5 linked regions of the Neurospora crassa OR74A genome follow. The protein of the gene in region 4 interacts with the protein of the main gene of each other region in a pairwise test. Links are inferred from orthologs where the notes say so. Each region holds a gene or a part of one and is shown on either strand. Other genes may lie near its edges.

What was found.
Region 1: the proteins of NCU01249 (region 4) and NCU06009 interact in a two-hybrid assay, tested with the Saccharomyces cerevisiae proteins (2 studies listed by BioGRID). The link is inferred for Neurospora crassa OR74A from reciprocal best matches to the Saccharomyces cerevisiae genes SRP1 and YPL088W.
Region 2: the proteins of NCU01249 (region 4) and gch-1 interact in a two-hybrid assay, tested with the Saccharomyces cerevisiae proteins (2 studies listed by BioGRID). The link is inferred for Neurospora crassa OR74A from reciprocal best matches to the Saccharomyces cerevisiae genes SRP1 and FOL2.
Region 3: the proteins of NCU01249 (region 4) and nic-8 interact in a two-hybrid assay, tested with the Saccharomyces cerevisiae proteins (2 studies listed by BioGRID). The link is inferred for Neurospora crassa OR74A from reciprocal best matches to the Saccharomyces cerevisiae genes SRP1 and PNC1.
Region 5: the proteins of NCU01249 (region 4) and NCU00210 interact in binary tests that used the Saccharomyces cerevisiae proteins (3 or more experiments, as listed by UniProt). The link is inferred for Neurospora crassa OR74A from reciprocal best matches to the Saccharomyces cerevisiae genes SRP1 and CBC2.

The regions. Positions count from the first base shown.
Region 1 is NC_026506.1:3,101,595-3,106,511, forward strand, and holds NCU06009 (oxidoreductase), read right to left. Parts: upstream 2,575-4,917; 5' UTR 2,312-2,574; coding exon 1,409-2,311; intron 1,328-1,408; coding exon 1,151-1,327; 3' UTR 945-1,150; downstream 1-944. Other genes in the region: NCU06008 (hypothetical protein), read left to right, coding at 3,503-4,783. UniProt on the Saccharomyces cerevisiae protein: Putative aryl-alcohol dehydrogenase.
Region 2 is NC_026505.1:348,631-353,985, reverse strand, and holds gch-1 (GTP cyclohydrolase 1), read right to left. Parts: upstream 3,086-5,355; 5' UTR 2,548-3,085; coding exon 1,606-2,547; 3' UTR 945-1,605; downstream 1-944. Other genes in the region: NCU07773 (thymidylate kinase), read left to right, coding at 1-129, 248-884; NCU07775 (hypothetical protein), read left to right, coding at 4,220-4,909, 4,975-5,355. UniProt on the Saccharomyces cerevisiae protein: GTP cyclohydrolase 1 is the first enzyme in the biosynthetic pathway leading to folic acid.
Region 3 is NC_026501.1:7,459,734-7,465,146, forward strand, and holds nic-8 (isochorismatase family hydrolase), read right to left. Parts: upstream 3,135-5,413; 5' UTR 2,791-3,134; coding exon 2,644-2,790; intron 2,228-2,643; coding exon 1,481-2,227; 3' UTR 945-1,480; downstream 1-944. Other genes in the region: NCU00714 (heat shock protein STI1), read left to right, coding at 1-343, 406-558. UniProt on the Saccharomyces cerevisiae protein: Catalyzes the deamidation of nicotinamide, an early step in the NAD(+) salvage pathway. Positively regulates SIR2-mediated silencing and longevity by preventing the accumulation of intracellular nicotinamide, an inhibitor of SIR2, during times of stress.
Region 4 is NC_026505.1:3,366,479-3,370,560, reverse strand, and holds the start of NCU01249 (importin alpha subunit), read right to left. Parts: upstream 2,801-4,082; 5' UTR 2,455-2,800; coding exon 2,221-2,454; intron 1,957-2,220; coding exon 1,447-1,956; intron 1,396-1,446; coding exon 493-1,395; 3' UTR 1-492. Other genes in the region: NCU01248 (hypothetical protein), read left to right, coding at 3,778-4,082. UniProt on the Saccharomyces cerevisiae protein: Functions in nuclear protein import as an adapter protein for importin beta nuclear receptors. Binds specifically and directly to substrates containing either a simple or bipartite NLS motif. Promotes docking of import substrates to the nuclear envelope.
Region 5 is NC_026503.1:3,018,026-3,022,415, reverse strand, and holds NCU00210 (nuclear cap binding protein subunit 2), read right to left. Parts: upstream 2,388-4,390; 5' UTR 2,197-2,387; coding exon 2,128-2,196; intron 2,030-2,127; coding exon 1,908-2,029; intron 1,820-1,907; coding exon 1,426-1,819; 3' UTR 945-1,425; downstream 1-944. Other genes in the region: NCU00211 (mitochondrial ribosomal protein subunit L31), read left to right, coding at 409-458, 531-760, 831-883; NCU00209 (hypothetical protein), read left to right, coding at 3,731-4,075, 4,163-4,390.

The DNA of each region.
Region 1 (4,917 bases), on a different chromosome or scaffold from region 4:
TTTTGGCTAGGACCAAAGACAGATAAATGTACTATATCGTACAGTACGTATGAAATCGATTTAATGGTGAATTCACCAATTGGTCCAAATTCATTTGTGATGGGTGGGTGTAGTGCTTCTCCGTAAGAACTGGTCTTGAGTACCTTGACGCTAGCCTAGCAGAAAGACGGACTTGAATAAACGACACTAAAGGGCTTACATACCTCCTACAATACATACACGAAGCTATAGGTGCTAACTCAGGTAGGGATTATAACTACCCTGGAACATCTACCTCCGCTTTTGGGAGGTTAGTAACTGAAACTGAAGGTGTTCACAACTTATACCAAGTTTCCCACATATATTAACACCTCAATTGAGCAGCCTATTGCGTATCTCTAAAAAAAAAAAAAACTTCCACGCCCGGTCAAGATATTGCCATTATATCGAGACCATGGCCCGACAAAGCCCATACGTGGAATCGCATATGCTTGACTCAAGCTGCCAGCGCCACGGCAAGATCCTGGACTCCTTTTTTGACCTAATGAGCTCTCCGTATGTTGGAATGGGTGAACAGACCTAGCAATACCTTCCCCGTTTTGCGAACCCCTCACATATGGCGTCGTGCAAGACCGTAGATCTTGTCTTAGCAGGCCTCGGCACCTTTTCATCGGTCAAACCTTAACGAGCAGATTATATTACTGTCTGGTGACATAGTAATCCAGCACCGAGTCCCTGTTTAACATCTGCTAAATGGAACGCTGGCGCAAGATGACGTGAACACACTCGACATTCATTTTTGAACCGGCTCGAGAACGCGAATTGGAAATCTCCAAGGGTCACCAAGAGCATGACTTCATTGCACACCAGACTGAAGTCAGCAGAGAATCCGTTCACAAAGCCGACTGTCACTGGGCCTGGGATTGGAGCCCATCCCACTGACTTACGAACCTTGGCCACCTCGAGTGTAGCGAGCCAAGGTTGAAAACTTTCAATATAAAGGATGAGTTGAATTGGGGAACTGAGGGAATGGCGACATCGGGTCATGTCGTGGTCTCGGCAGATACATCGAGAGCCACCGAATGTATTCAGGAGTCTGTTTAATGATGTTACTACACCCAATACCTTCCTGATGCCAACATGAGTAAGGCAGTCAGGGTTGGAAGGCAAACTAAGTGTGTCCGTGGATAGCCTTGGGCTTATACATCTCCTCCAAATACTTCTCCTCCTCCACCGTTAAAACCTTGCCTCTAGCGGTGATTGCTTCTTCCAAACGCTCAACGCTGCTAAAACCAATGATTGGACTGATGACGCGCTTAGCAATCCAAGCCAAGGCTACGTGGGAGATCTACAGATACGGTTAGCAAGGTAAGCCTCTTCAAAAGATACCTACGGATATCGATGGGTTTCTCTTGGCTATGAAACTTACCGGCCATTCATGCTTATCCGCAATCTCAACCACGCGGTTGATAATGGTTAGATCGGGCTCAACAGTGCCATGCGACCCAGGCTGGGCCTCCTTCTCTCCTTGACTCCTCTTGGTCCTGCCAAACTGATCGGGTCTGCGGGCCAAGTGGCCACGGCACAAAGGAGCCCACGGGATCAAGCCAACACCAGTGTCGTTGCAGAAGCGGATCATCTCACGCTCTTCCTCACGATAGAGCAAGTTGTACTGATTTTGCATGCTGATAAACTTGGTCCACCCGTTCTTCTCGGCGCAGAACTGCATCTGGGCAAATTGAGTAGCCCACATGCTGCTTGCACCGATATAGCGCACCCTGCCGGACTGCACCAAGTCGTGCAAGGCCTTCATGGTCTCTTCGATGGGAGTGTTGGGATCAAAGCGATGAATCTGTAGCAGATCGATGTAGGGCGTATCCAGGCGCCGAAGAGAGGCCTCGACGGCGTTCAAGATGGCGGCCCGCGACAGGCCATGCTGGTTCACGTAGTCCTTGGAGGCGGCAATCTGGGAAGGAAAAAAAAAGGAGCGGAGATCGGGAGTCTCTCCGACAGCACCCCAACACTTGGTTAGGATGACTACCTTCTCGCGCGGAATTGCGTATTTCTTGAGGGCCTTTCCGACAATGATCTCGGATGTGCCGTTGGAGTAAACATTAGCCGTATCCCATGTGTTCAGGCCACGGTCATAGGCGGCCTTGAGTAACGGGAGAGCCTCATCTTCCTCGATGGCCCAGTCCAGCGTCCGTCGATCACCGAAGCTCATGCAACCAAAGATGGGCACGGAAACACGGAGACCGCTCTTGCCCAGCTGGCGGTATTCACATTTGGAGTTCTCGACAGACTCCTTGAGGCTGGCGGGTAGTTCGGGCATCTTGTGAGTTGTGACCTGTGTGTGTGTGTGTGTGTGTGTAGGTTGCTAGACGTCAAGGGATACTCGAAGGCGATGAGGGGAGAGTAGAGTGAAGGAATGACAAGGGCTGGATTGGGTACAAGATGAAGATGAAGGTGGAGATCACGGTGGTATTGTGAAGAAGGCATTTAATGACGGTAAATGGGTATAATATACTACCAGGCGTAGCTTAGGTTGGGACTTGCACGAGCCCAAGTACCTACCTCTAGTCAAGACCACCAGAGAAGGTGCAAGGTAGGTTACATCCACCGTGAGGGACAGCGTCACTATCCTGTTTGTGCTGGACGGGAGGCAGCACCTACCCCGCACCCAAGGGCAAGAACAGAGTCGTAATGCCCGTGTAGCAGTGCAAATTTCTTTGCAGGTTTCCATGTTAACTCCATGATCGTACCGAGGTGTGACGGCCAGAGGTTACCATGGCAGTGTTTGTCCTAGGCTCAAAGCAGTGACAAGAGGTCGGAGATAAAGTGACCGAGCCCCTAAAGTCCGGATGAGCGTGGTGAGCCAGAGGCTAGCTGATCACACAGCGACATCTTCCATTCTGAGATGATCCGGACCGCCCCCAATAAAGAAAAAGAAAAAAAAAAACAACCCCCCCGAAGAGTTGAAAAAAGGGGAATCCATCCCGGAAAAAAGGCGTTCTCAGAAAACATAGAGGTAAAAGTTGAGTATAAAGCTTAGCCCGACGTGGGAATCGAACCCACAGCCTCAAGATTAGAAGTCTTGCGCGCTACCGATTGCGCCAGCCGGGCAGGCATTTAACATTTATGCTCAGGAGGTCGCATTATACATGACAAAACTGTATTTCATCCGCTTGAATAAGAACCACCCAATACCGCCTTACACAGCAGAGGAATGAAACGCAAGCTCAGAAAGCATTCCCCAATGCCAAGCCCCTTTCGGCCATTCAAAGGGCCCAAGCACCCTTCGTCTAACCCTTGGAGCTTCCATGTCTTTAGTGCTTGCGTCCCTCCTTTCGAATTGACATCATCGTCTCCCCACCAGCACTTTGGAACCCGTCGGCCATTTCCGACATCGCGAACCCATTCAACCACAATCCCGCGACTTAACGGAAGCTACAACATTGCAGAGGGCGACGCCTTAAGCAGCGAAACAAGGATCCCATCCCCGATCGATTGAAACCGCGACACCATGCCCCACGACAACAGCGGCGACTGGGCGTCGCAGGCGCAGATTGAGCCCCATCAGCTCGAGGGTGGTCATACGGTGCCCTATTGGGACAAGAGCTGGTGGGAAGAGTACCGCCGAGCTAGGAGTATCAGAGAAAGAAACGAAATCATCACCAAGCTCGTCGACCAGATGCCCGTCAAGTGGAACACGCTGCCGCAACTGCCCTTCTGGGCCCCTCTGTTCAACGTCACCCAAGACCAGTACAAGGTGGACGTGGGCCAGAGACTCATGGCTACGTCCTTCCTATTGGGTCACCAGCCGCTGGACCGGGAGGATATCGATCTTGTCGCCTACGGCGCCGCCAAGCGATCTGTCACCAATGCGTACGCCCGACCCGCCATAGCCCTCGGCGCAGGCGTCTGCTGGGCTGTTGGATACAACAAGTACAACTTCCCTTTCTGGAAGCCAAAACCGGCATCCTTCAACCCCGAAATCTTCCCGAGCCAGAGATTCACCCTCGCTACCGGACACCGGGCTACTTTGGCCTGGCAAGGCGTCCGCATTGCCGCCTGGTATGTTACCTGGAGAATTTTCGGCGGCTGGATCGCGGATGCGTATGCCGAAACCGTCTTCTCGGCGACACTGATGCGGAACAAGGCATTCAAGCAGAAGCTGCTCGAGGCGGGACAAGCGATGAAGGCGAATAGCATTACTCACGAGAGGCCTGAACTGAGGGACGCTTATTCAGTTGAGCACGAGCCGGATCATGACCACCAGGAGGATCAACAGCAACTACCACAGCACGCGCAAACACCATACTACCAGCGGATCCAGCAGCACCAACAAGAACAGAAACAACAACACCAGATGCAGCAGCAGCAGCAGCGGCGGCAGCAAACACAACAATCCACTTATAGCCATGACGATGATGATTACCTCTTCGATGATGCCTCCCCCGTAGCACCAGCCGCCAGAGGAACGGGTACCGTTAGCTCGCCCGTCGCCCAATCTTCCGGTTCCGCATGGGACAGACTCCGACAGCAAGCAATGGGGGGCCCCGCGCAAGCACCTGGGAGCACGACCGCACCCACAGCTGCCATCTACGCCAAGCCTTCCCAGTCCCGTTTGTGGGCTGAGCGCCGTGCGGCTGCCGTAGGCGGCCGTGAGGACGGACTGTCGCATTCCTACTTAGAGACCGACCAGGAGAGAGCTCTGGCCAAGGAGCAGGCGCAAAGGGAGTTTGATGCCATGTTGGAGAGAGAGAGGCGTGGCGATGGCAGCAGTCATAGACGTGGGCTTTGAGTGAGCGACGGTAGGAGTGGCGAATATCCAAGAGCGGCTGGCTATATGTGTACATATAATATCCTGCTTGGTAGATGTGGCTGGTCTTTACCTTCCCACCTGTTCCAAGCCTGCTTGTTTACCGGAGCTGATGG
Region 2 (5,355 bases), about 3.0 Mb from region 4:
CAAGACCATGCGATTTCCCGACCGAACCACGCCCATAGGCCAGATGATCGATTCGTACCTCAAGTCGCAGGCGCAAATGGACGATCATGTTATTCACTTGCTGTTTAGTGCCAATCGATGGGAGGCTGTGTATGTTTTCTTTTTTTTTCTTTTTTTTTTTCTTTTTTCCCCTCTTTTGGATTGGGGTGGTACATATACAAACAGACAGACAGACAGACAGACTAACAAGTTCTTTTCAATTAACCAGAAAGAAAATCACCTCGGAACTATCCCAAGGCACCACCCTCATTCTCGACCGCTACTACCACTCGGGCATCGTCTACTCGGCCGCCAAACAAAACCCTTCCCTCTCCTTATCCTGGGCGCGCGCCCCCGAAATCGGTCTCCCGCGTCCCGACCTGGTCCTCTTCCTCGACCTCGACGAAGAACAAGCGCGCTTGCGCGGCGGGTGGGGCCACGAGCTCTACGAGAAAGCCGAGATGCAGCGCCGAGTAAGGGAGTTGTTCTGGGGATTGTCGCTGGGGAGGGTGGGGACGGTGACGGTGCCGGTTGGTGGTGTTTCGGCCTTGGGTGGTGCTGGGACGGGGGGTGAGAAGAAACGGGGTGGGGAGGAGGTGAATAAGAGGGAAGCGGTCATGCTTGCCGAAGGACCAACGGAGATGGAAGAGGTGGCGGTTGGAGCGCCGACGCCACTGGCTGGGGCTGCGGGCGGTCCGCATATTGATAGGGAGTATGCGTTTAGGCAGGAGGAGGAGGATTTGCATGTTATTGATGCGAGCGCGAGCGTGGAGGAGGTGGCGGAGGAGTTGTGGAAGGTGGTGAGTGCGAGAGTAGACGCGGTGGAGAGGGGGGAGGTTGGCAAGGTTGTGAGGAGGGTGTTGTGATGGACACGATGTTTTCTTGGGCGTTCGGCGATTGGGTGTGTTAGCTGTTGGATCATATGATACCGAGATCAAAAAGGACAAAGCTGGATGTGATAAGTCCATCTCATGCCAGTCCTATGAGACGAACCTTGAAAATTATGAGCTGAAAATATCTACCTGTGTCTAAAGCTCTACATTTACCCAGGCGATGGTAGAGTTGGACCTTCCCTTCCAGTCTCTTTCTTGTTGTCTTTCTCCTCCAAACCAAATCGCCCCCGAAAAAGTTAAGCATGGACTGAGAGGAATGTTGATGCATTAAGGTTGGAAGCAAGCAACATAGCGAACGCCAAAAGGGGATATAATGAGAGATTATATAGACAAACATGCCATACTGTGTTTTTTTCTGAAGAAGTAGATTTCTCGCCGCCCCCCGCCTTGATGTTGAGATCCTCGCTGTTATATGAATTTGCCCGGTTGAAGCCCCCCTTGAACGCCAGATTGATGCAAAATGTTTGCATGCTTGAAAGAAATATGTGAAGAAAATTGGCATGCCGTTGAGGCAGATCCCTGTGTGGGTATGTAAAGATCCAGTTCCCTGTTTGTACTTTTCCTCCTTTTTCCCTTTTCCTTTTCCCTCTTCCCTTATCTTTTGTTGAAACCAGTGTCCCCAGCTAGACCTGGCCGCGCTCGACTAAAGGGTTATGTCCGATGGAAGCACGACCTGCTCGTTAGGAAAGCACGTTTAGCGGTTGACGCCAATCAAGCTCAAGAACTCGAGCCTCGTCTTCTCCCTCGACTCAAAGCACCCCAACACACAGCTGGTAATGGTACTGCTCGTGGTCTTCTGAACGCCTCTCATGACCATGCACAAATGGCTGCTCTCCATGACGACCGCGACACCCTGCGGCTTGAGGATTTCCATAATGGCATTCGCCACCTCCTTGGTCAACCGCTCCTGGATCTGCAGCCGGCGCGCAAACAGCTCCGCAATCCGCGGCAGCTTGCTAATGCCAATCACCGCGTTGCTGGGGATGTACCCGATATGCATCTTGCCCGTGAAGGGAACCAGGTGGTGCTCGCACATGGAAAAGACCTCAATGTCCTTGACAATCACCATCTCGTTGTGGCCCTCCTGGAAGATGGCCCCGTTGACAATGTCGCGCACATTCTCCTGGTAGCCCTTGGTCAGGAAGAGCATGGCCTTGGCGTAGCGCTCGGGCGTGGCGAGGAGACCTTCGCGGTCCGGGTCCTCGCCGATGCATTCGAGCAGGGTCCGGACGGCGCCCTTCATCTTGTCGAGGCGCTCCTGCTTTTGGGCTTCGGTTTCCTCCAGACGCTCGCGGGTGCCACGCGAAGGGCGACTTAGGCCGTCAAAGTCGATGACGGGCGAAGGAGAGCGGGTCACGGAGGTGGATGGGGAGACTTCTTCGGTGATGGTGGAGGGGACGGCGGCGGCGGCGGTGGAGGAGGTGGTCTTTCTCTTCTTCTTCTTGGAGGGCGACTCTTCGGGCTTGTCCGAGGGGTCGCGGGCGGGCTTGCTGACGCTGGATCGCCTCTCGCCGCTGGAGTGGGCGCGCTTCTTGCTGCTCTTCTTGTCCTTCTTGTTGTTGGTGCCGTTGGCGATGGGGGGACTGACGGAGCCCGAGGGGCTGTCGGAGCCGTCGCGCGTCGTCTCTTGAGCCATTGTGTATGTATGTGTAAGTAGTACGTGGGAGGTGATGGGTGGTAAGAATAGGGTGGTATAAAATGATGTTTCGGTAGGAATTGGCTGCGTAGTAGAGGGAAGAAACGAAGAAAAGACCAGAAGATCAATTGCGAGAGAGTCGGGTGACTGACTGACTCTTGCAATGAATTCCGAACAGCTATGAATGGGTGGGTGAGTGGTCAAGCAAAGTCCTGACTGACTCTTGTGCGGCAACCCCAATGTTTCGTCGGTCCAGGGAAGTGAAGGGGAAAATAAAACCGGGGACTTGGTCTAGGCAGGCGGAGGAGTGGAAATTTTGAGCGCCGATTGCAGGAGGGCAAACCAACAGTTTTGGGGAATCTAGACGCGCTAGACCCAACCAGGCCTGTTAGTCTTATCTTATCGCCGTTGACGTCAACTTTTCTGCAAGGGCAAAGCCTGCGTTCTGGACTGATTCTGGGGACGAAATGGGGCGGGCTTGTTCGGGGTTCAATTCTGTGTGGAATCGATTCGGTTTTGTTTCACTTTTGGAGTTTTGGCCACTTTGACCTTGGTGCTGCCAGCGGAACTGCGACTGCATCGTGCATTCATGGTCTGACTTCCATTGTGCAGAAAAATAAGCTTGATGGGGTCAACGGTTGCCAAGGAAAGAAGACACCCAAAAAAGGGTCCTTTTTAAGGTTCGGCCGAGGGTTCCACAGAGTGTCTTCCAACGGGGCCGGGCCGATGACTTGTGTGTGTTGTTTCTTATGTACACTAGCTTGGTACTTCCTGGTATACTTGACGAGACCTGATCTATCCCGAATTGTCCCAACCCTCACATGGATATGATGAATATCGGACATGGAGTTTTCAAAGAGGTGATTTACGGTCTGGTTATGGATCGAAACCGATTGATTGGATTTTGAAACGCCCAAGCAAGTTGAGCCGAGGTCTCGAGCAAGACTGTAGTTGGGTCCTGATCAAGACCTTATTACCACGACACTGGCTTGTCAAAGAGTACAGTACACTAGAATCGTCAGATACTGTAATCTGGAGGATTAAAGCTGTATGTCTAGGTGCTACTAGATTTTGCACACTCCGCTCCTGAGTCCGGCAAAGACTCCCTTTATACAAAGGACGGTTTCACGCATAAAGTTGAAAACAGCGAATACGAACCCAAAGCGGCTCAAGGCTACAGGTGAAAGTCATGGCTGTATTGATGTCTCAGCTTCTGCAGAATTGACAGGTAAGGGAAACGTTCAGACAGCTGGGCTCTGGGGGGTGCGGGCTGCCCGTTGCTGGTCACGCAGATGCCCCACTCTACGTGACCACGGGTCGCAATTGCAGTAATTACGTGTAACGTACCGCGCAGCACCGCATGTCAACCGCGACAAAGAACTTCAAGTTCCTGTTCAACATTTCGACAAACAACCAAACTCGCCATCAGCTCGCCGCCAACAACCAAGTACGGGCCGCTCCGTCGTCAACGAACCAAACCTTACCCACTGCCGAATGCTAGTTTTGACGACCTCGCTTGCGTATCAACACCAAACAATCAATTCGTCACAGAGCGGTCTCCGCTCCATCACCGAGCTCAGCCAACCCATCATTCTAGCTCGCCCCGCGTCATCCGCAAACACCCACTCACTACCTCAACACCCCACGATCACATCCCCAGCAAGCCGTCACCATGGCCTCACCACCGCACAACAGCTACTCCTTCCCCGGTGGTGCTCGCTCCCCACCACACCTCCCATCCCTCACCACTTCGTCTCTGTCTAAGAAACGCGCCGCCGACGGCTCTGGCCCCTCGCCCAACATGAAGCGCCGTAAGGGTTCCGTCATGTCCGTTGGCTCCGCCCACCCACTCCGACAAACCTCCTTCCCGCCCGACGAAGCCCCTGGCGGCGCCCGCTCCCCGTCCGTCGACATAGACGCCATGTCCTACGTCAGCGGCACAGCCCAAAGCGTGGTCAGCGCAGCCGCCAGTGCCGCTCCCACCGTGCCCGCCGGTCCGCCTAAGAAGAAGCGTGGCCGTAAGAGCAAGGCGGAGAAGGCGAGGGAGCAGACACCTAGTGTTGTTGGTGCTGGGGCTGGTGGTAAGCCGGGAACGGCGCCGCCTAGTGAGGTTGGTGGGTCGACGGTTGGTAGAGGGGCTAAGAGTGCTGCGGGCGGGAAGGACCAAGGTGGACAGCAAGAAGATCAGGATGATGATGAGGGCCCGACGGAGGTGGCGGCTACGGCGGATACGTTGACGAAGGAACAGAAGGAGGAGGAGCATAGGCAGAGGGGAATGCTGATTAATGCCTTTTCCCCGGATCAGTTTGATCGTTTTGAGAACTGGAGGGCGGCGAACTTGAGTAAAGCTGGTGTTAGGAGGGTATGTTCGTCGTTGTTCCTGATCTGCTATGCTTGGGATTTTCATCGCTGACTTGACGGTGACAGTTGATCAACGCAACCATCTCCCAGTCCGTTACCGAAAACGTGGTTATTGGCATGCGCGCGGTAGCCAAGGTCTTCATCGGCGACATCATCGAGGGCGCACGTCGTGTGCAAGCGGAGTGGATCGAGAAGACGGGCGAGAAGCAGACCGATTTGCCTAGTCCGCCGGCGACGCCTCACGCGGCTGCTTCCAACAACAATAACAACAACCTTGCAGGCGGCGAGGGACAACAGCAGTCGCAGACGCTAGGAAACAGTGCACAGACAAACGGCGAGAACGGAGAGGGTGGAGATGCAGCAGCAGCAGCAGCCGACAAGGGAGACGAGACCATGCCCGACGCTTCCCAACAGGAGAAGGAAAAGGAAAAGGAGCGGGACGATCGT
Region 3 (5,413 bases), on a different chromosome or scaffold from region 4:
GCGTGCTCCGGATGACCCCCGCGGCTACAGCAACCGTGCTGCTGCTTTCATGAAGCTCCTCGAGTTCCCTAGCGCCCTTGAAGACTGCGAGACGGCCATCAAGAAGGACCCCAAGTTCATCCGTGCTTACATCCGCAAGGCTCAGATCTACTTTGGCATGCGCGAGTACAGCAAGTGCGTTGACGCCTGCACCGAAGCCCGCAAGATCGATGCCGAGTACCACAATGGCGCCAACGCTCGTGAGATTGAGCAGCTGGAGCAGAAGGCCTTCAACGCCATGTATGCGGCTCGCGAGAACGAGACCGAGGAGCAGACAAGGGAGCGTCTGGCGCGTGATCCTGAGGTATGTCATATCGTAATACCAGATTCACTGTTTGCAACATATACTAACATATTCGCGTTCAGATCATGGGTATCATGTCCGATCCTGTCATGCAGGCCATCCTCCAGCAGGCTCAGTCCGACCCTGCCGCTTTGGCCGAGCACATGAGGAACCCCAACGTCAGGACCAAGATCCAGAAGCTTATCGCTGCTGGCGTCATCCGCGTTGGCCGGTAAAACAGAACAAAAAAATGAACGAAAGGGGATCAAAAAGGGGCATTGGTTTGGCCGGGGATCATAGCATTGGCGCTTGGGAACGAAGGTCGGAATGGCGTGGGTTTCTTGAACACACATTTACTCCCGTTTGAATGGGAAATCATACCATCCCTTAATGAATTGCATGAGAAATGACAATTTATCTTTATCACTTTCTTGTACAGTAAATTCCATTCATGTCATTAGGGTTAGGGAGACGATTTGTCAACATTTCGTGTGTAGTTTCACGAGCGCACAAGGGCATGGAGTCTCTTTTTGCCCGCTTACTTCTTGGAACTTTGTTGACTCCATGTGTCCAACCACGAATTCGACACCGTAGTAGGCGGGAGACTCCGAGTACCTCTTGGTTTTTTTTTTTTTTTTTTTTTTCTTTTTTTTTTTTTTTAAATCCGCGTTGAGCGGGATGCCGAATACTAGGCAGTGTACTGACACATGGCAAAGCTTCCCCTTCAAATCGCCATGATATTGCACAACACATGTCGGTATCTGCTCGTCATCTTCCTGAAAGGGTATCAAGAATGTATCGCTAAGAGCGCTCATCGCTAAGCCTAAACAAAGTCAGCTATAATCGGCCGTGGAATGAAAATGAAAACAAATAAACAATCTAAAGCTCGTAACGCAACGCAACGCAACGCAACGCAACGCAACGCAGGCGCCGAAGCAACGCAGTATCCGCCCTGAAGCATGGCCGCCATGCCATGCCTGTGCACTGCATGTTGTCATGCTCCCGTTGAACGACCGAGCAGCCAACGCTGCATATAAGGTACCTCTTCACCCGCCTACAAAAGCACAACAAAAAGCCAAAGCCTTTTCCCGCTGACCTCGTCCATCCCCGCCAGCAGTTCCAGTTTCAATTTTCCTCCCTCCCTTTCCTTCCACCTCCTCAAATCTTCTCCTCCTCCTCCTCCTCCTCCACTACCTCCTCGTCATTCCCAGCACCGACAGTTGTTGTCACCAAACCCCCAGGAAACAGCCTTCTAACCTCCTCTCCCTCCCACCTCACAACCCTCACCCCCGGCTCCCCCACAAGCGCCTCCTTACACCTCCTCCACCCGTCCTCATCAACAGGCTTCGTCGCCTCCTCCACCACCACCGTCTCAAACCCTTCGTTATGTGCATCCATCGCCGTGCTCCACACGCAATAATCGGCCGCCAGCCCCACCACATAGACGTGCGTTACCTTGGCCTCCCTCAACATGTGTGCGAGGCCCGAATCGCTCACGCGGGGTGAGGTGAAGGGGTCGTAAAAGGCCGAGTACATTTCGACAAGGCGGTTGGTTCCCTTTTCGAGGATCTGGTCGATTTTGGAAACGTCCAGCTCGGGGATGAGGCTAGCGCCGGGGGTGTCGGCGATGCAGTGCGAGGGCCAGAGGCGGGTAGTGTAGGACTCGGAGGGGTTGTGGGGGTTGTGGACGGTGGTGGTGGACAGGAAGGGGATGGCGGCTTTTCCGGAGGAGTCAGGGCAGCAGGGGGATGGGGAGGAGGCGTGGTTGTGGTTGGAGGCGAAGGAGATGTGGTTGGGCGGGTGCCAGTCCTTTGTGGCGATGCGGAGGACGAAGAGAGGGGAGGAGAGGAGGGTGTTGATTAGGGGGGTTATGGAGCGGCCGCCGGTGACTGCCAGGGTGCCGTTCTGTTTGCAAGACCAGTGTTAGTGTTTGAGTATGGGTGAAGGTGGGTGTGAAATCAAGGTAAAGTGAGCGGACTGTGGTGATGTGAAGAGTGAGGTGATTTGACTTAATATGAGATGAAGAAAGAGATGGGCCTGTGTATTTTTTGCAAGCCACTGAGCTCATAGGGAGATTGCAAGTGGTCTGTCTGCCCGTAGAATGAGGCTTACACGGCGACGACACGAATGGTATGTTCTCGCCACAGTACAACTTCCAGCTTTCTTGAAGCAATAAAAGAGGCCAGAACAATGCGAGGATTCAAATGATAACGAGTGAGGGTAGTCAGGATGGGTGAAAAACGTCACAGAAAAAGACTAAAATATCGATGCTGCTGCGAGTTCTGTACAGGTACGTGCAGGAAGCAGATCCTGAGGCTTACCGGTGGGCAGAAGTCCTCTTGCATGTCAACCACCAGGAGAGCCGGCCTGAAATCGGGCTCCGGCTGAGCACCTTGCCCGTTTTCTAGCAGGCGTGTTTGGAACACATTGAAGATACTTGGGGGCATCAGCCACTCGAGGAAGCCCATGATATTCGGGCGTGTTTATTCAATAGACGACCCTGCAGTATCTTTTGAGAAGGATCAGGCGGTTGGTGATGGCCGTCGTAGGTGGATGTCGCAATCAGCGAGAGCGGCGGCGAAACAGGAGGCACGGCCCCCAACGAAAGTTCAGATAAGACGGATAAACAAGCGTCGATAAGGTCCCTGAACGCCACTGGACCTCACTCATCGGCGCACACTATGTACCAAGGAACGGCGCCTGTGCGCATCCTATACTTGGTATACAATTGAGCCCGCCGCAGAATCACAACTAATCGGCGCAAACGGTCAATGCACGAGGGTTAGGGTTCCAAGAGTCAACCCAGGGGCACTTCCCATGAGCTTCCGCTCGCAACAATTCCGTACCTCCGCTTTACATACCGTGATGGGGGTCGTTCGTTCACAACTTGGTTGCATCTGGCAAACTATGTCGAGCTGAAGTTGACGTGGTATTCTTTTATCAATGCGGGCTCAACGCCTTTGTACGACGTGATCTGAGAACGATATCGGAGAAGGGCGGCCTTTATGTACTGTAGAAAATGCAAAGCGCGTGAAACAGAACCCCGAGTGTTAACTCCGCCTATGAACGCTCCCTGTAGCTGTGATGGGACTTTGGACTCGGTAGCATTGGGTACAAACGCAGCTCGAACGTCTGCACTTCGGCGGGGTTTTACGTTCCAAAACCCAGAATCAATGCTTCCCAAAGTCCGGCTCGAAAACAGATGGTCATTGCGACAGCTCACCTATCATATTAAAGCCCCCCCCAACGCCAGAGAAACCCCGAATTCCGAGAAACTGTCAAGTCCATCATCCGTACACTCTCACCACAAAACATTAGCCAAACTCCCACCAAACTAAGCGTTGGCTTTGCTGGAGTTCACGATCAGTTCAGTAATTGTAGACGGCCAGTTATGGAGGGGCATTTGGCGACTCGACGCTACTCCATGTGTGTAGAGTCATGGTGGAGATGGAGGGGCAGTAAGAAATAATCAGATCATCTGATAAGCATCATAAGCAATGACCGGTATCGATAAGCAACCATGGGTCCCGCATCAGCATTCTTGTCGCCAGGATCCACGACCTCGTCCAAAAGCCGAGAGCCTTCTGCAATGCCACGTCCAAGCGAGCTTGACGGGCGATAACGGACGATAACGGTTATAATGGTGGGGGCTAGGGGGGGTAAATTGCGCCCAGACATCCATTCGGCCTTTTTCGGTGGGGCTGGTTATTGCAACGTGATGATATTCAGGGAACAACCTGGAGAGGCTGGAGGAGGCTGGAATTGAAACAAACCTGCCCAGCTGGGAGGGATCTGGGAGATCATGTCGATTCGCCGTGCCGGGGTTTTCGTCTTTGAACGTTTGGTGCCCGTGATGACTGGCTCAGTTGGCGCTGCTCACGAGAGGAAAAAAAAAAACTTTGAACAGCCAATGATTGTGTTGTGGCCAGGTTGCCATTTTGAGATTTCTGGAAGCCGGAAAAGTGTTCGTTGGGGAAGAAAAAAACAATAGGAAAAGGGGGTGGTGTACAATCATTACGTAGCCGTCAAAGTGAACGATCCAGTTGGGACGGCTTGTTCCCACATGCACGCTCTGTCCCCTCAAGCCACTGCACATCGTATCGAGCATCGCATATAGCCGGCGCAACATGTTCAAAGACAAAGCTGATGACGCTGGCTTGATCCCATCAATCAAACAATGATCCAAACGGCGAGCACGTATTTGTACGGTAGCCATGCGCCGGATGGTGAGAACACAAGAGAAGAGAAGAGGTTGTGGACTGTTGCCCCGTACTTAGTGGCATGTCACTAGTCGCGATGGTACAGTGCAGGTGGTGAATGGAACCTAGGCGGTGAAGCGACCTCGCTCTACCTTACCCAACATTCGGGCCCAAGGCCATTGCGCGAGGACGGCGTGTTGAAATATCGTTGGTGGTTGAAGCAAAAGATATGGATCGGTGCACATAGCGTAGCCCAAATCGAGCATAGTAATGTCTTTTAGATCTCCAGTGTCTTGGGCGAACCGTCGTCAATGGAAGTGGGAAAATGTTCCATCGTGAAGAAAAAAGGGGGTCGTCGTGCAGCGCGAAAGAAGCGACGCCCGGATTGGATCGTCTTGGGGAAAGACACAAAAGCGGGTGTGGCCCGTGTTACTGGCACTGCATCGTCCAACCCAGTGAGAGAGGTCCCCTGGTCCTTCCCAATTTTTTTTGGAAGTTTTTATTATTTCCCATACCTACCTGCCTATCAAGAGGGCAACCCGGACACCCACTCCGCCTCGGTCCTCATCTCGAGCAGAGCAAGCAACAAGTGACGGAGAAGTACCGATCTCCCTCCGGTCAGGATCTTGGACTTTTTTGTTGCTCAATTCAACATTGTCTAACGATTCTTCTTCCCCCTCCCCCCCCCTTCCTCCCCTCATTCTTTTGAAAGGTACATCAACCGTACCTCGAGGTAGCAGCTTCATTGCAGCCGCCAACCAAACTTCAGTTTGTTCCACCACCTTTCCAGTTCTTTGGGACTTGTTGCACTCTGGTTATTCTTTGCAATAATCGGATTTTGTGCAACCAAACTGAAAGGCGGGAAGAGAGATTCGCCAGCACGAGTTTCTCA
Region 4 (4,082 bases):
CATCGGCCCCGAGGCTCCCGCTCCCTTCTCCTTGGCTTGATCACTGCGCGTCCGAACATGGCTATAGGGTTGGAGCTTTCAAGCTACCATTCAGACCCTTTGATTTACTCTCCCTTCATCATAAAACGCATCATCGTGTCCTCATCAGGTTCGAGCTTTCGCACCAAAGGACCAATCGGCCTCCATGTGCGTCTACTTATCCTCGCCTTTCTCTTTTAAACATAACTTTGATAACGCCAATTCAAGGGGTATGGTGTGGTGAATAAGCGTGAGGGGGCACTATGAGATTGAAGCAATATAGTTCTGCCGTGTTGTGACTTGTGTTTGGGCGAATGAACTCGTATGGGGGAGCCGAAAGGCTGATGGGGTAAGATGTTTATGGTAGGATTTCCCAGATGGTGCCGTGATCAACATCACATCTGGGTCCCCTCATCCCAATCTTTAACCCAACCATCCCCTTCGTAAAAAGAACTAGACGGATTGTACAGCATTTTACATGTCCATCGACTCGGTGCCGTTAGCACCGAAGTTGAAGCCACCCTGCTGGGCACCACCGGAAGCACCGAATCCAAACTGCTGCTGAGCGCCCATGGCCTCATCACCGGCCTCGTCCTCGTCGGAGAAGTACTTTTCAATGATGTTGTACGCCTTCATGTAGATCTCCTCGTTGGCGTTCGTCTGGCAGTCGTGAATCTTCTCCATTCCTCCGCATTCCTCGATAAATAGGGCATAACGGTTGATCGAGTCAGGGCCATCGCCAGCGGCGTTCTTGTCGAGCTCGCCAACCTTGAGAATATTCTCAAGACCATCCAGGGCAACCTGGATAATCTTGTTGTCAGGGCAAGCCAGAAGGTCGCAGAGCGGCTTGATGCAGCCTTGAGCAACCAAGTATCTGATCTGATCGGGCTTCTGGAGACCACCCGAAGTCGCGTTGCTGATAGCCCAGCAGGCCTCCTTACGAGTCTTGAGGTCGGCATGGGAGAGAAGGTGGATCAAAGGAGGGATGATGTTGGCGTCAATGACAGATTGGATCTGAGCCGAGTTTCCAGCAGTAATGTTGCTGATGGTCCAGCAAGCCTCCTTGCGGATGCCATCCTTGTTGGAGCTCAGAAGCGACAGGAGGCAGGGAAGGGCACCGCAGTTAATGATAACCTGGGTCTGAACATCGTCTCCCGTCACAATGTTGCCAACGGATCGAAGCGCGGGCGTCTGGACAGAGGTGGAAGCATGCATGAGGAGCTCAACAAGACGCCTGGGAATGCCAGCCTCAATAACCGCCTGGATTTTGTCGTTGGATCCATCCGAGAGGTAGGAGATGGCCCAGCAAGCGTCAATAAGAACCTCGTCGTCGAGCGAGTAGACGAGCTTGGCGAGAACTGGCAAAGCAGGGGCGATCTATGATGGATCAGTAGACATACTAGATTGTTCGTGATCGAGAGAACTAACCGTGTTCCAGTCGGGCTGAGGAGTCTTGCCACGGCAGAAGTTACTAAGAGTCCAGGTAGCATTCCTGAGCATGCTAAGTTTGCGGCTATCACCAAGGAGGGTCAACAAAGGACGCAGAGCACCGCAGCTTAGAACGTAATCACGGCATTGAGGGCTATCGCCAGCAATATTGCCGAGAGCCCAAACAGCCTGTTCACGCACATCAGGCTCGGGGCTTCCGAGAAGCTCGACGAAGATGGGAACAGCACCAGCTTCGATGACAACCTGGGTTTGAGTGGCAGAGCCCGAAGCAATGTTGGTAAGGGCCCAAGCGGCCTCGAACTGGACCAGGGTGTGGGGGGAGCGGAGGAACTCGACGAAGCGACCAACGACGCCGGTCTTGATAACCTCCTCAATGGGAGGGTTGCGCTCCTTGCTGAGCAGCTTTCTGAACTTAGTGGTCGCCTGAATTTGCTTATCGATCTCACTGGAGAAGACACCCTCGACCATCTTGGGAAGGTCCTCGCTCAACTATGACAACTGGGTTAGCATGTGGAGATCAACTATAACAAAGATCGGGGACGTGACGGAATGTGGGGTGGTTTTCGTTTGTACAATGTTCGAGTTTGCGCGCGCAGCTTGAATGCAGGTTCGGCACTGCCTGGGGGTTTGTGGCTCAAGCATCACCATCATCGGCGGGGTACACGTGGGGGAGAGAAGGGAGAGGCGATGGACGGACGCAGTAGCAAAATTGTGGCCGATCATGTAAGGGGAGTAAGATAGAGGTTTGCATACCTGAGACTCGGTGGGAGGGTTCTCATCGTCACTGTCGGGGGCGGCACCAAGGGAAGCTCCAGGCCGCGAGTCGCCAGCACCAATACCGCGCCTCTTGGCCAAGTTCTCCTCGCGCTTCGCCTTGCGAATTTCGACCTGCTGTTCCTCACGACGGCGACGAAGCTCATCGGGCTTGAAAGCACTCTTGGCCTTGAACTGGGTGCGACGATGCTCGGGAATGTATCGGTCAGCCATGGTTGCGACGCGATGTCGAGACGACGGTGTCTAGACGGATGGGTGATGGAGGTGTGATATGAAGGCGGCAAACGAGGGGCGATGCAATCGATGAAGCCCCGGCGACGAAGTTGCTGCGAGCCGTTCAAAGGGAGGTATATGCGATCAAGAAAAGCCGGAGAATTGGAAGAGCCCGGTTGATACGGTCCTGCCAAAGCAATCCTGAATGGGACGGAGAAAAGTATGGGTGCGTTGTCGGCGAGACGGAAAACGTCAGAGAAGGATTGGGTTTTGGGGATGGATGGGGCAGGCGAGTTGTGTGTTTTTTGAGGAGCGACGATGAAAGAATTTGGGAGTTCGCCCGCGCCTCGAGCAGAAAGCGGAAACAAGAATGCGGCGGCGGCTTGTCCCCTCCTCTACCAGCACTTTCCACCTCCACGAAAGTGAAGTCCAAGTGCAGGCAGTCACTGTGCCCTGCCTGCCACTCAGTCACAGCTGCCCCTCAGGCCTGAAGGTGGCCCAGTCACTGCCCACAGCGCCCAATGCTGGCACCAACTGTAGCGAAAAGAGTTTGGCTTCTGAAAGTGGGGATGGAAGAGCCAAGCTCGAGCACAGGCCACATGAGCAGCTTTGTAACTTGTCCGCTGTTCTTGGAGTGCAGGAACTTGTCCACCATTGGGTGGCCCCACCTCAGAGCGGCTGGACCCTCCAGGCATTCTTCTCATTCCTTCCATTTTGCTTGTGAACGTCATGGATTGTTTGCAGGTTACACACTGCCCGTCATAACTTCATCGACCTCAGGCCGCGTCCGTCGAGCCGCAAGCTTTTCGTTTCCCTGAATGACTACGACATGTTTCAGTTACTTGAAAGAACGACGTCAAAAGGCCGCTCTCAACCTCCCACCGTCTGAGCTAGGTAGATACGTCTTTGCTACCTCCAGGCTTTAGGTTGTGTTGGGAGGCTGGCCTGCAAGGTCCTGTTCGGGAGTCCCCGACCCCTCATGACTATACTGGGTAGGTAAGAGAAAGCACAGACCATGCGTCTAACCATTACCGTAGCCCTGCAAGGCTTGCTGAAAGCACAGCGCTTCAAGTCTGATGGTCTGGCCCGACGGGCGGCCAAGACCCTTGCCCTGCACATGCGGTCGCGCAAACTTGGCGATTGGGCAGGTGCCATTTCCGCTTTCAAGACGCGTAAAGTGAACGCGTAATGTACGACGTATAACACTGAAGTCCCCAAGTTGCCCTACAACGGTTGGTAAGTATCACGACCAACCGCTGGTGGTGTTTCATCCACATACTCATCCGCCGCCATGTAATCGGAACGGAGAGTTGGGATATCCAGATGATGCGCCCGCTCAGAGACAGGAAACCGGCGGCCAAGGCAAAGCCACCACTTTTTCCGTCAACGCTCACACCCCTACGAGCCATTCTCGACGATGACGGTGATGCCCAGCCCGGGTCCATGGTCAATGTCATTGGTGTTCTTAAGGACTGCCGAGCACCCGTCGCGACACACGGATCGGACTGGAAGTGCACCCTGACCATATCTGACCTGTCCATTGAAGATGAATCGGCCGGAGTTGAGCTCGTCATCTTCCGCCCCGAGGCACGGATGCCCGAAGTCGGCGCCGGAGACGTGCTTGTTGT
Region 5 (4,390 bases), on a different chromosome or scaffold from region 4:
GGTTCCTTCGGTGACGGACGACGCTAATGCTGCAGGTGCACCCGTGTGTCCATCTGCCGCGGACAGTGCGCGGACAGCGGGGTGAGCTGTTCCGTGGGAACAAATGGAAAAGACAGAACCGGGGAATTTTACAGAAAGATGGGGGCTCCACGAGGCTGAACAGTGGACCTTACAGGGGCGAATCCAGGCCTACTATCTGAGACTGGGTCTTGGCATCCGCTCTCGAGCTGGTGTTCTTTCGGGGTTGGGGTTGGCGAACGGACCCGCGATTTTTTTTGGACGGGACTGTTTGGACTTTGGACGACGACCGCCCGCCCGCGCCGATTCCCGCGATACCTTCGGGACCCATCCTGACGAAGCGAACCGGTTGCAGCTCTCCCCCCCCAAACATCCACCACCACCACCACAATGTTTGGGGCTTTCAGATTCACCAACCCCCTCTCCGGGGGTCTTCTTTGGTAAGCGACTACCCTATGTTGCAGTTGCGCCAAAGGTTCTACCGGAAATGCTAATCATGTCGCGGCAAACAGGAAGATCCCATGGCGCATGTCCAAGTTCCAGAAGCTCAGGCAGCGCCGCAGACTGAGGGCCGTTGACAACGTCGTCGCCACCATTGAGAACGCTCTTGCCAAGAAGGGTGAGACCGTCAAGGCGGTGGAACGCTGGAGGGCTGAGATGCCCACCGAGGCCGAGATGCTGCCCAAGGACAAGTACACCATCTTCGACCGCAAGGAGAAGAGGTACCGCAAGGGCATCCACAGTACGGGCCACCCTTGTGCATCACTTCACAGCAGTCAAAGACCAAGGCTAATACGGCATTCCTTTTCCAGAGCTTCCCAAGTGGACCCGTGTGTCCCAGAGAGTCAACCCTCCCGGTTACTAAGACCTTCGACCCGGACGATGGACGATATCGTGCAAGCATGTATATCACTTGTAACATTACGCAGCGAAATGGCATGGGTGACATTGGAGATACCGCTAACAGGACCGTTTGCTTGGGGCAAAGAAGAGGAGGCCTCCTGTCTCGTCTCGCAAAGAGACTGACTGACTTGGAGGTCCTGTCCATCATGGACACTCCTGCTCGCTCCATGTTGAGATACCACTGCAGAGAGCAGCGCAAACACGGCCAGGCGAGCATCACAGAAGAATGTGTGGAGCCATACCGAATGGATGGGAAATCAATAATTTCCCGAAATACCATAGCAAGATACCAATACAACAACGAATATCATGTCTTCCAAGGGGGTATTTGTCTTTTACGCTTCTCTGTTCCGCCTCCACTTGCCCTGAATGAACAAAATTCGTAATTTCAGAGCCGGCTTGCATATTTTGTGTCGATTTGTCATGACGACTGGTTGAATATCTGTGCACTGGATCATGATGCACTCCCTCATTGTCCCACGTAACTCCCATGCAATGACAACTCTAGCGCAAGCGGCCGTATTGTTCGTCGTTATCGTCGTAGCGCTTGTGGTCATGCTCCCTCATTCTCTCGGCCTGGATTTGCCGGCCAAGACCACCGCGGCCCTCGTCGTAGTCCTCACGGTACTCATCACGAACTTGGCCGCCCGACTTTCCACGGCCGTACTGTCGCCCTTCCTCGAAGCCTGGGTCGAGATCGGTTCGGATGATGCGCTCGTCCAACTTGGTGCCGCCAATGTACTTCATGCAATCGAGAGCGTCCTGATGGGTGTAGTATTCGACGAAGCAGAAACCGCACGGTGTCTTTTGTAAGCGATCGAGGCCCATGACCAAGCGCTTGATCTCGCCGCATTTGCTAAAGAGTTCGTAAACCTGTTCTTCGGTAGTGTAGAAGGAACTGCCGAGGTACATTCGGTTAGTTCTTGTTTCTTTTGATTTTTTTTTGATTTTTTTAATTAAGGACTGGCAGCGTGGGGCAAACTTGCAGATTGCCGACGTAGAGCGTGGTCGCATCCTTCAACGGGTCATCGAACGCTTCGGGATGCATGTTACTGTCTTCGTTTTCTCCATCGCGGTGGTCCCGGTCGTGACGTCTGTTGCGCCTATTCTGTGTTGAGTGGATGGGTCAGCGGTCGACGGGGTGCTAATTATGGACAGGAGAGATTGGCAATGTTTGGGCATGGAAATGCCGTCAGGAGCACTCACCTTGTTGAAAAAGTATGCACTTGGCCTGTCAAGGCGCTCTACGGTGCTCCTTTGGCGAGTGTTCAACATGGTTACCTGGTAGTGAAGATGGATTATCTGCTCTTGGGTGAAAGGTGCCCTGCAACTGCGAAGAAGAAGGAAAATCAAAAGCTGTCAGCCCAAGTGGAAGTTCAATGGTTTGGAGTTCTGAGACGTCGATGGGGATGATGCAGTGGTTTCCCTTGCCAATGGAATTGGACCTACCTAAGAGGTAACTTAGGTTGCCCGCTAAAGTGGAAGTACAGGCGCAGCTACTTTCTGAGCGCGACTGGTGTGCCCGTGTACCGCGACAGCAGCACTGCAGGCTTCGTTCACAGTTCAGTTCAGCTCAGGTCAGTTACACTTAGTCCTGTTGGCGCACAGTGTCACAGTGCATCGGACATCACTGCATGGCAATCCAGGTAGTCTTGGCACTGTAACGGGCGACGGAAGCCGTTGGTGGTGGGTCAGGTACCCTATCTTACGAGGTGCCCGCAAATATGACGACGGCAGGCAAGGGCAGAGCGATGGAAGCAAGGGCAGGAGGACTTGGTGGAGGCGCTTTGTCGTTGATCCAACAACCATTGCCAGCCGATTGGACCGCAATCTGGCACCCAATTTACAGGCGCGTCACAGCACAACTGTACCTACCTCGGGCTTACCATTTATAGTATGTATACAGCTAGGTCTCCGTTAAGACCTCCATTCGGCCATTCCATCCCCTCTCATCCCGGGCGGCCTGCCTGTCTCCTGTTGATCAATGACCGATGGTGTGAGACGAGGCGGCGAGCACGGTCTGGACTGAACACCGGCGGACAGTTGAAACGGACTAAAGGGCTGTGGAAGGAGTGGAAACGCGCTAAAATGAAGCTAACACGATCGATCAAGGCAAGCAACGGAAAATATACGGCATAGGCACGGAAGCGGACGCCTCTAGTGACGCCCTGGACGCCTCATTTACAGCACTGGCTCGGACTGGACAATAGTGGCATCCAGCACTCGTCCATCCACGGGCATCCATCAGGTCCGTAGCACTACACGCTAGTCAAACCTTGTTGTTACCATCCTGACCAGCCAACCGAGACCACTAGCAAACTTCGCTTTCCTGGCTTTTTCTCCCATGGGATCGATCGAGGGGCCTGCCACTTCAAAAAGGGATCCCAATCTCTCTCCTTGTCTTCCCTCCCTTGGCTTCTGTTCTACTTGCTCTTGATCACCTTTTTTTTTTTTTTTTTTCATCTTCAAAAACCGAGAACCGCCATCACATTAATAGTACCGGTACATCAAATACATACGTACCTCGACCATAGTGCGCCTGCCTACCTACATAGCCAATTACCTCCCCACCTACATACATTACTTCAGCAGAGAAAGCGAAGTGCAGCACGACGACAAAAACCGGCCCGTGCATGCTAGGACATAGCAGGACCTCAACACAAGCTACTATTTCTGCCTAGCCAGACACCAACTTCGGTTTTCATTGCGCCACACGAACCACCGTCATCTGTAGGATTCATCAGGCTCGAGTTGGATAGTATAGCGACAACAGACAGCTCTTAGCACAAAACCACCAAGCACAGTCGGGATGCCCAAAATCCGGAGCTTCTCGGCGCCCTGGCTCCAGGAGCCAAACCCCGGCCATAAGCTCTTTGAGCAGGCCGAGGAAACCAACCGGCTCCCCGCTTCGATAGCTTCCTCCAGGAACGCCAGTCAGGGACCCAATCGCACCATCGCACACCGAGGAAACGAGGTCTTTGTTGCCAGAGGAAGGGAAATCAGATGGGGAGATCTTGCCGATCTCAAAGACGCCTGGGAGGCCCAACAGTCACGGACCGGCTCCGCAAGCCACCTCAACGGAGATAGCTCCGATAGCTCCTTTGAGGTTTACGATGAGGAGACAAGCCGTCTTCCCCAGGGACCAGGCTACAGGGTATGTGGCTACAAATCCCCGAGACTCGGCGCATACGGCGCATCCAAGATGGCCACATTGGGTACTGACATGGTTTTCCTCTTCTAGGTCATCAAGACCCCTGTCGCCAGCGAGATCCGGCAGCTGGTCATCTCCCCTAACAAGGACCAGTTGGCCGTCCTGACCTCTCACACAGTCCACGTCTGTATGCTGCCCGACACGTCCCACCTCACCTCTGGAGAGACGGCCCCCTTCAAGCCCAAGTTCTGGACCGTCGGTCCTACCACTCACGTCACCTCCAAGTCTGCTGTTGTTAGCGCACTGTGGCACCCTCTG